Linked DNA regions of Neodiprion lecontei. The protein of the gene in region 2 binds, or shares a complex with, the protein of the main gene of each other region. Links are inferred from orthologs where the notes say so. Each region holds a gene or a part of one and is shown on either strand. Other genes may lie near its edges.

Region 1 (4,989 bases), on a different chromosome or scaffold from region 2:
CATTTTCAGAACCCTGTTAGTGCAAGGAATTGAACTTCAGCATTTTGCGATGTGTAGATAATATATTTGATTAGTTTTCAATCAGTTGTATTTGCTTTGAATTCTGATCAATCGAAGAATAAAACCTAACGAAGAATAAAAATATAACGAGAATGAAGTTAGTAACGTTAATATGACGAAACACTGAAACAAAAATTACCATTTGGCAATATTTATATGGCTTTGAAGAAGTTTGAGTTTTCAAACTACAAACTTGGTATGTTTACTTCTGTGTGATTTAATCAATTTCAGATAATCCCAAGATTGCGTAACAACAATAATTTTATTTCCTAAAAATGCTTTGTTACATTAACGTTGCAAATTTCAATCGCATAAAAAACGACCTAATTATTTTTCATTTCTCTGCTTTAAAACGTAAAAAATATTTTCGCCTTTCCAAAAACTCAAGCCCTCTTAAAAGGCTAAACATTTCTCACTCGACGGTCTCGGAGTTTCTGTGATTGCAGCAGGTGCAGGTGTTTGAGCAGCTGGAGGTCGCGTCGCGCTTGTCGTCATGGGAGTGGAAGACGAATTCGTTGAAGCTCTGGTGCTACTCTGACCGGTCGATGGCCTGGTCATCGTACCAAGAAGGCTGCTCAGTCCCCCAATTTGCCCGACACCTCCAAAAAGTTGCATCAACTGCTGCTGAGACATGTTGTTCAACAGGTTTTGAAGATCTCCATCCGGAGTTCCTCCTCCGATACGTGGTGTCGGCGGCGTTGGAGGATTGTTCAGTACCTCGTTGATCTTTCTTGAATATTCTTCGTCCTTGTCCGTTTTAAGATCCTTTATATGATAAGGAGAATAAGATTATACAATAAAATTTAACAAGGGCAGCTTAATAATTTTTTTCACAACTCGCAGTATTATTTTTCAGATTCATGGTCCGTGAAAATCCAACGAAAAGAATGTTTCACTTAAAGTATCGACTCAATGAATCACAGAAGATTAATATAAATTGGACAATGATTGAAAAAATCTCACAATCACACAAATGTCAAGTAAAGGTTGTTAAACAGGTGTTCAACATTATTGGAATGTGTGAAGTATTTTTTCTCGGTGTTTGCGAATCGATGAATCAATTATCAATTAGTTTTTCGGTGTAAATTTCTAATGAAAAACGTTTGTTATAATCGAAGAGGTTAATGAAATCTCTGCATATTTCTATTAACCTGGAGCCAGAAAAGGAATTTCCTGCTGGACGATTTGAAGCGAAGATGATACACTCTGCCTGTCTTGCACTGGGGTACATGTTTGAACTCGCAGTCATCTGGAAAGATGATCAAGTCCTAAAAAAAAGTGAAAAACATAACAAATTTGAGACGACGCATCCAAACAAGGTATAAATTTCTAGACATATATTTCGATATATTATAGATACTTTTTTCTCACATTTTGTATTTAGATCTTGTTTTTGAAAGGGAATGTCTGACTAAATGTTTCTAGAGTTGAATAAAATGTTGCATTATAAAAGGAAAATAATAAAAATGATGAAAGAAAACTAGGCAATAATAATATCAAAAGTTGTTGTCATGCTGAGAGAGCACATTTGGCAATGTCTAACATCATCCATTATGTACAGATCTAAATATACCTATGCAACTATATTTATCAAATATGAAAAAGTATAGACATTATTTTCCTCCACATTTTAATTTGTATTTACAACACCGCAATTACACAATCTAGTAAATATTCATCTGCTTGTTGAATTATTCATATTCATGTCAATTAAATAAACTTCTGAATTGGTGCAGAAAAGCGGAACGACAATGATAAAAAAGCTAACAAAAATATTCATTTATTTAGAATTAAATACTCACCTGGTGCAAATTATTTGTTGCGTTGCGCAGTGCGCAATTTGTATTATAAAATATTAAATGAAAACTTGAAATTGTCACAATAATTTGAAATGACTGGGAATTTGTGTAACAGTTTGAAGAGTGCAGCAAATCGATCGATAAATCATAGCTAAAACAAAGCTTGCTATGAGCATAAGTTAAAAAGACCTTTTAGGAAATCATTGTGTAAAACAGATCTATGAAAATTGATCAGCACTTAAAAAGGGTTATGTCAGCTCTGAGAAAATCGCTGCGCTTCGTAAGCCAGGGATGAAGAAGAAAATGACAGAATGAAGCATCCAACTGATTAATATTTAGTAGCCAATTAACCTTTTAACGGTATGGAAATATGAGTTCCAATCAACCTTTTCTTCGATGCAAAATTAGTTAATAAGTTTAATGAATTTCTTATTAGAAGTCCCCAACGTGACTACTGGTTGATACATCGACCGGCCCTGCCGTCAACAGGTTAATAAAAGATCTGCCTTGAAAAACAAACCCGATGTCCAGGCATACAAGTGATTCGTGGCAGTTGAGGTTGTCAGTATATGAGCAAGTGCAAGACCGACTTCCAATATCGAGCAATAAGTATCGAAAGAATACAATTTGAAGTCTGATGATGTTGGGATTGATACTAACGAGTTTGAAATTCGCAGCATGACGTGACGATGGATTTTGAGGGAATTAATCGTTGAGTATTTCTCAATTATAGGATGGTCTAAAACTCAATACACCATAATAAGGAGAACCATATCTGACATTCTGAAAACTGGAAGAACTTTTCTCAGAGTCATTGTCTGAAATTCTAAATTGGTGATGTTTATTATCGGTGTGTCGTCAGGTCAACGTTATTGAATTCAACCTCGTTATATACTCACGTCCTCGACGACTCCGGAGGTTCTGTCCTTCCAGCAAAAATGCATCAGGGAATCGTCTGACTGAAAGACGTAGAGAAGACCCTTGCGAGTGTCTGGATAAACCATTTTGCCCTTGACGGTCATTTTGCCGGCTTTAAATTCTACCAGATTTTTGCTCGCGCCGCGTGTCGCGTTGCTACCGAATAGGGCACCGCTCGACATGCTTATTATCACGTTTTTACCACTTGGATTTATGATAAATTACAATAAAGCCACTGGTCTAGCGTATCTGGATTCTACGGGCAACAGCACGACACTATACGCAAAGATAAACTCGATGACAATGCATTTTGTTGTGGCTGCACTGATTAATCAAGCCTGCCATATCTCAGAAAGGATGCGCAGTCTGGTTCCTTCGGTGGACTGTTGTAGGGAATTTACGGGCTGCATCGTCGCACGGAGAAGTCTCGTGTTTTTCACGTGTTTTTCATGTCCCCCACTATAAAATGGGATTTCATGGGCAGCAAAAGGCAGCAGCAGTTTAGTAACCTACTAGATGTTACTAACATCTGTCTAGTGATTTGATGCAGCAGCAGCGCTGCTCTTAAAATGTCTTGCGTTTGCTACTACGGACAAAGAGTATAAATGGACTTCAAGGAGAAAAACTTTTGCCAGAAGTGCTAGGATCTTTCAGAGAATTAGTGCTATTGCTGCTATGTTTTGCTGTTCATAAAATTCCAACGTTCTGAAAATAGCTGGTGGCGCTAAAAACTGCCCAGGACAGAGGCAGAGCTACACACGAACTCGAAACCGCAAAAGAAATAAAAGATCATTGACAGTACTGACGACAATGAGAACCAATTTCGGAACGCACCTTTAGTAACATCAAAGAGACACGAATTAGATTTTTGAAACTAACTTTCGAGTGAGTGATATAATGTGGGCGAGCGCTCTATATTTACTATATTTATTGACAGTGGATTATACTAAGAGCATATACTACTGGTGGTAGCTTCGCGTGTACAGAAAGTATAGCGGAGAAGTGAGAGTGAAAGGTATGTGTCGGTTATAATTTGTCTCGCTATACACCTGATTGAGTGACAGAGCGAAGCAACCAGAATATATATATATATGTATATATATATCTCATCACTTTGGCTGCAGTTTTCGATATTTCGCGAGGTTGATGAAATGGGTAGCCTACCTCCAGTTCGAAACGATTACACCACTGATACACGCTATGACGGTATCGATACGCTACCGACATGCTCCGTGCTCCATAATCAGTTCTGAAAACTTACCTCAAGCGGCGCTGCTGCGGCGCTACTTTCGGGACACTCACAATCAGGGAATTCTGGGACGTCTGACGCCGTAGAGTTCGAACGTACATACATAATCGAGTCGCATTTGCGTCATGAATTTGTGCAAATTTCTGCTGAATTTAATACTTTTTCTTAATGAACTCGATCCGTGGTGCTGGCCTTGGTAAGTGATCTTCAAATGAACAGTTCAAAATTCACCCTAAGTTTCATTTCAGGCGGTGTGCCTGCGAGTGTGTTTTTTTTAAAGATAAACAAATGACGCTTACGATTAGACCTTTACGTATTTACACCGAGACTAAATCACTGAACTAAATTCGAAAATATCTCGCTCTATTCGACGAGAAACCATGTTGAACATGCTATTAACTATAGTACGTTTCGTTTTTATTTTCACCAAGTGATTTGCCCATGATTTCATTTATAAATGGAAGGTGGTACTATTTTCATGGATGCGATTTCGCCGTACTGCATTGCAAGCCTCTTGCGCCTTCTCGATTTTTGAAAAACTGATAATTTGGTCTTAACCTTGACCCTACAGCTTTGATAGTGTGTAGATTCTTGAGGCCGCGAAATTTTGAGAACAACTAACGATAGTTTTTATATCAAGTGCATGAAAGACGTAGGGCTTTGTGTGGTAGTTTTGCGGGACGCGAGTCGTTAATTTCATCTTCCTATGAACGGAAGTCATCTTCGAAGGCAGGACAGAGAAGCAATTGTTATGATACAATTTTAATCATGCGGCCATGTGTTTCGTAATGAAATTCGAAATAAAAATTCATCGGAAAACATTGCAAAAATTTGGTACAGTTGTGGAACAACATTCCATGATTTTAATCAGTATGCCATTTTATTTTCATACAATTTATGGTAACGTATTATGTATATACATGAAATTGGCATATCGTTTGATACCGTACGGTATACTGTACC
Region 2 (4,359 bases):
TCTTGTTGAAATATTAAATGTCATTTACCTGATATCCGTGTTTCCAGCTGTTGAGGGATGGATACTCTTCATAAACTCTGTTCACGAAGAAGCTCAAGAGGACGATATACAGGATAAGTTCTCAGAGTTTGGTCAAATAAAAAATCTACATTTGAATTTGGATCGGAGGACTGGATTTCTCAAGGGATACGCGTTGGTTGAGTACGAAACATTTAAGGAGGCTCAAGCGGCAAAAGATGCTCTGAACGGTGCCGAAATCTTGGGTCAGCCAATAACTGTCGATTGGTGTTTCGTCAAAGGACCAAAAAAGTGAGAAACAAAAATAGTATACATATATTTTTCGTAATCTATTGACCAGGCACCGTCAAAATGGTCGATCCGCATTTAAATCTGTGGAATTAATTTCAGGATTAAGAAGAGGAGTCACAGAAGGCGATAAACCGAGGAAGAGTTATTCTACTTTCGATTAATAATAAAGCACGATAATTTTGTTTTCTTATCTTGTATCAAGTAAGGTGTAAAACACGAAACCGAAGCCTGAATGATTTTGTATTTTAACTGATATTATAAAATAAAAATAAAAATTCCACAACCGTAAATACGTAAAGAGTTTTATTCAGCAAGTTTTATACACGTTTTATGTATTGGATGCGGATTTATTTGCGGGTTTTTACAATCTATTAAAAATCGTGATGAAAAAAATTGTTAGGCTCACAATTGGCTCATAAGCCTAATTTTAAAAAAAAAAAAAAGATCAAAACACGCCAAATTTGGGATATCTATGAATAGTAGTTAAGGTTCGCCTTCTTTTTGGCCTGTACTTCCATGATAGCTTCCATCAAATCTTCGTGTGTGACGGCAGTTGCATTGCGTCTGAGAGCGATCATACCCTGTAAATGACACAAAGAGATAATAAATCACGAGTTAATGCGCAATCGAGAATGGAGTATAAATTTGTTAAAACGAAGACTTACTGCCTCAACGCAGACAGCCTTGCACTGAGCCCCGTTAAAGTCATCAGTAGACCTGGAAAGTTCTTCAAAATTAACATCTGGTGACATGTTCATTTTCCGTGAATGTATCTGCATGATTCGAGCTCTAGCCTCTTCGTTGGGGTGGGGGAATTCTATTTTTCTATCTAAACGCCCGGATCTGAGCAACGCAGGATCAAGTATATCGACCCTGTTAGTGGCAGCAATAACTTTAATATCGGCATTGGAGCTGAAGCCATCCAATTGATTAAGGAGCTCCAGCATAGTTCTCTGGACTTCTCTGTCTCCAGCCTTTTCAGAGTCGAATCTTTTCGTGCCAATGGCGTCGAGTTCGTCGATGAATATAATTGCTGGCGCCTTCTCTTTGGCCAGTGAAAATGCGTCTCGTACAAGCTTCGCACCGTCCCCAATGAACATCTGAACCAGCTGCGGTCCAGCCAGTTTGAGGAAGGTGGATTTGGTCTGTGCAGCACAGGCTCGAGCAAGAAGCGTCTTTCCTGTTCCAGGTGGCCCATAAAGAAGCACTCCTTTGGGTGGCTGGATTCCCAAATTTTCGAACTTCTCTTTGTGAGTCATGGGCAGGACAACGGCTTCTATAAGCTCCTGGATCTGCTTGTCCAGACCTCCGATGTCAGAGTATTGTTCGGTTGGCCGTTCGTCAACCTCCATCGCTTTTACTCTGGCATCATACTCGGCGGGTAGAGTTTCCAGGACGAGGTAGCTGTCTTTGTTAACGCCGACCAGGTCACCGGGCTTGAGTGACTCGGCGTCGACCAGTCCTATCACAGGCAGAAAGTATGTTTGACGAGTTGAAGTTTTTATCACCGCGCATTTTCCCTTCCTCTGCGCATCTAGGTCCACAACTGCTCCGTCCTCCTCGCCCATGTCCTGGGGATCCACGTCCAGTAATTCTATGACGTTCGATACAAGGTACGGCAGTGTTTTGTTAACTTTTATCTTCTCTGTGTTTTCCTTTATCTTCTCGTTCTGCGCCTGGAGCTCGTGCGATATTCTCATCACGTCGCTTTTCATTATTTTTATCTCGTTGTCCAGGAGACGGGAACGAGAAACTATCTCGTCCGTGGACATACGCAGAACATCTTCGCCCAGCGTTTCCTTTTTGAGAATGAGAGTGATATTAAATTTGGTGATGTTATTCGGTTATGGGAGCCACTAGTAGCTATGTGATGTCAAGAATTTAACAAAAATTTAGCACATGATAGATTTTCGCTTTCCAAGGGTAAAGCGAGCCGGAATTGTCGTGTCATTCGGGTCAACATAACCCTTAAAAATTTTACACTTCGACGGAAAATCGACTCACCTCTCCATCCTCCCAAATAGATTTATCCTCCAAGGTAGCCATTTGGATTCTCAACTTGGTACTCGATTCGACGCTGTTATTTTACACGAGGAATAACCGTTTCTTTATTTCACTAACGCCGTGGAAAGGCGATAGTTTGTTACGATTTTTTTTCAATTAACAGATTGGTTCGATGATTATTGCCGAAGCGGAGTGACGTTCCACGAACTCATTCAATCCAGTAGCGACGTAGAGCGAGGACTCGTGTTCAAAACAATCCATAGGCGGCGCCGCTGTAGAAAGAGACAGAACGCAAACACGGCCAAACCCCGTCTAGATGGACTCACGGCGTCACTCGCTTTCGAGCGGCCGGAGTAGAAGGAGCAGAAGCATTGTGTTCGCCGACGGTCCAGAATTCATATTATTAAATCGCGTTATTCAGATTGATGTGTCGTGTCGTTCAATTAGTGTACCTCCACCAATAGTGAATAATGCAGGAATAGCAGCGTGTGATGCACAGAAAAAACGACGTTTCGAAGAGAGACCAGGCTGAGAACATTTAAGGTGAGTTTCATACTTTCAATTGTTTTGCGAGTTTGAAGAATTCGATACATTACGACGTAGAAAACAATTGAATTGGGTGATGCGAACGGTTGATAAAATAATCGTACTGAAGTTAGTAACGTTATCGTAACGGTTTATACTGAGGGAAAATTGTTGTTTTGCGACTTTGGAATTGCTCAAAATTCAGTGAAACGTAATAGTACGTATGACATACATAGGCTCATATTCTGAAATCTTAATTCCTTCAAAGTCATTGTAAAATTGAGAAAATAGGTATGTTTTCGCCATTGTTTCGTTACGATAACGCCACTCAGCTCAATCTCGTATAAAACGAAATTTACGAATTGGCGTATGCTCAGTTCGAGTCCGCGTATCAGATTTTGAAACGCAATTCGCGTTTGTCGCATGGATACACGTCTGTGAAGTGGAATTGTAACGCATTTACAACCCCTTGGTTCGCTGCAGCGTCGTTTCTCAAACATTCGATAAAATTGATTCCAACGTTGGCGGACAAGACGAGTTTGATTCGGTCGAGCTTAAGGATAAGATGTGTTTACGCGTCGTGTTGATACTGTTCCAAAACAAAAGTCGACTTTTGTTTACTACTGCACCGTGTTTCTCCGAATTACTGCCTTGGGGGTCGATGCTGTAATCCTTTATTGTAGTAATGTGCATACATCAAAAGTTCGTCTATGATGGCGTTGTTTATTTTCAAATTTCGAGTGCTAATTGATCTTGCCAATATCTTGGGTCTAGTTTTAGAATTGTACCGTATATCTAACAATCACGAAGCGATCGGACAACGCAAGAATCTGTAAATCTTTAATGGTTATTTATTCCGAATTGTATACTTTTTAAAAATTGTAGTAAATCTTGAATACTGCGTACATCAAATTTGAAGTTGCATTACTAACCAAATATTACGGTATCTTTTTGATTACAGAAATGAACCGTAACAACGTTGATCGACGCTAATGATTATCTGAATTGACAGAGACTGCCAATGGTTGCTGGAAACATCATGCCATAGCTGAAGAGATCAATTTATCACGAAAAATAACAGGTACGAAATATTTGAGATCATTTTCAAAATTTGTCGCAATATATCATCTAAAATCGTGCATGTATGAATATTACGTATACGAATTATGAAAATGAAACGTTAACAAAATGTTGCGTCTTTCACCTAATTACAGAAATGAACAGCGGCTAAATTTCTGGAACTCTGCGAATGTCTGAGTAAAGTCACCCTAGCAACTGATAGTGAAAAATAGAATACCGAAGCTGAACGGGTCGTAATGCTATGGAAAAAGAGAAACAGGTACACGTTCGAAACCATTCTTGATCATACTGTCACGCTTCCTTTACTTAGAAAAATTTATCTTTCAATTCAAATTTATTTCTGTTTAGTTCGTGATTATATTTTATGAAAACAATTGTGAATTTTGATGTATTAAACAAGTTGCAGGTATTGTATTGACCCATAGAATACTAATGGAATGT

What was found.
Region 1: 26S proteasome regulatory subunit 6A-B (region 2) and proteasomal ubiquitin receptor ADRM1 homolog share a complex: the UniProt entries of both Caenorhabditis elegans proteins name them as parts of the 19S proteasome regulatory particle complex. The link is inferred for Neodiprion lecontei from reciprocal best matches to the Caenorhabditis elegans genes rpt-5 and rpn-13.

What each region holds. Positions count from the first base shown.
Region 1 is NC_060264.1:19,749,570-19,754,558, forward strand, and holds the start of proteasomal ubiquitin receptor ADRM1 homolog, read right to left. Parts: upstream 3,146-4,989; 5' UTR 2,960-3,145; coding exon 2,759-2,959; intron 1,329-2,758; coding exon 1,212-1,328; intron 826-1,211; coding exon 477-825; intron 1-476. UniProt on the Caenorhabditis elegans protein: May function as a proteasomal ubiquitin receptor. May promote the deubiquitinating activity associated with the 26S proteasome.
Region 2 is NC_060266.1:23,076,576-23,080,934, reverse strand, and holds 26S proteasome regulatory subunit 6A-B, read right to left. Parts: upstream 2,530-4,359; 5' UTR 2,356-2,529; coding exon 2,314-2,355; intron 2,109-2,313; coding exon 975-2,108; intron 891-974; coding exon 780-890; 3' UTR 596-779; downstream 1-595. Other genes in the region: RNA-binding protein 8A, read left to right, coding at 48-309, 409-439. UniProt on the Caenorhabditis elegans protein: Component of the 26S proteasome, a multiprotein complex involved in the ATP-dependent degradation of ubiquitinated proteins.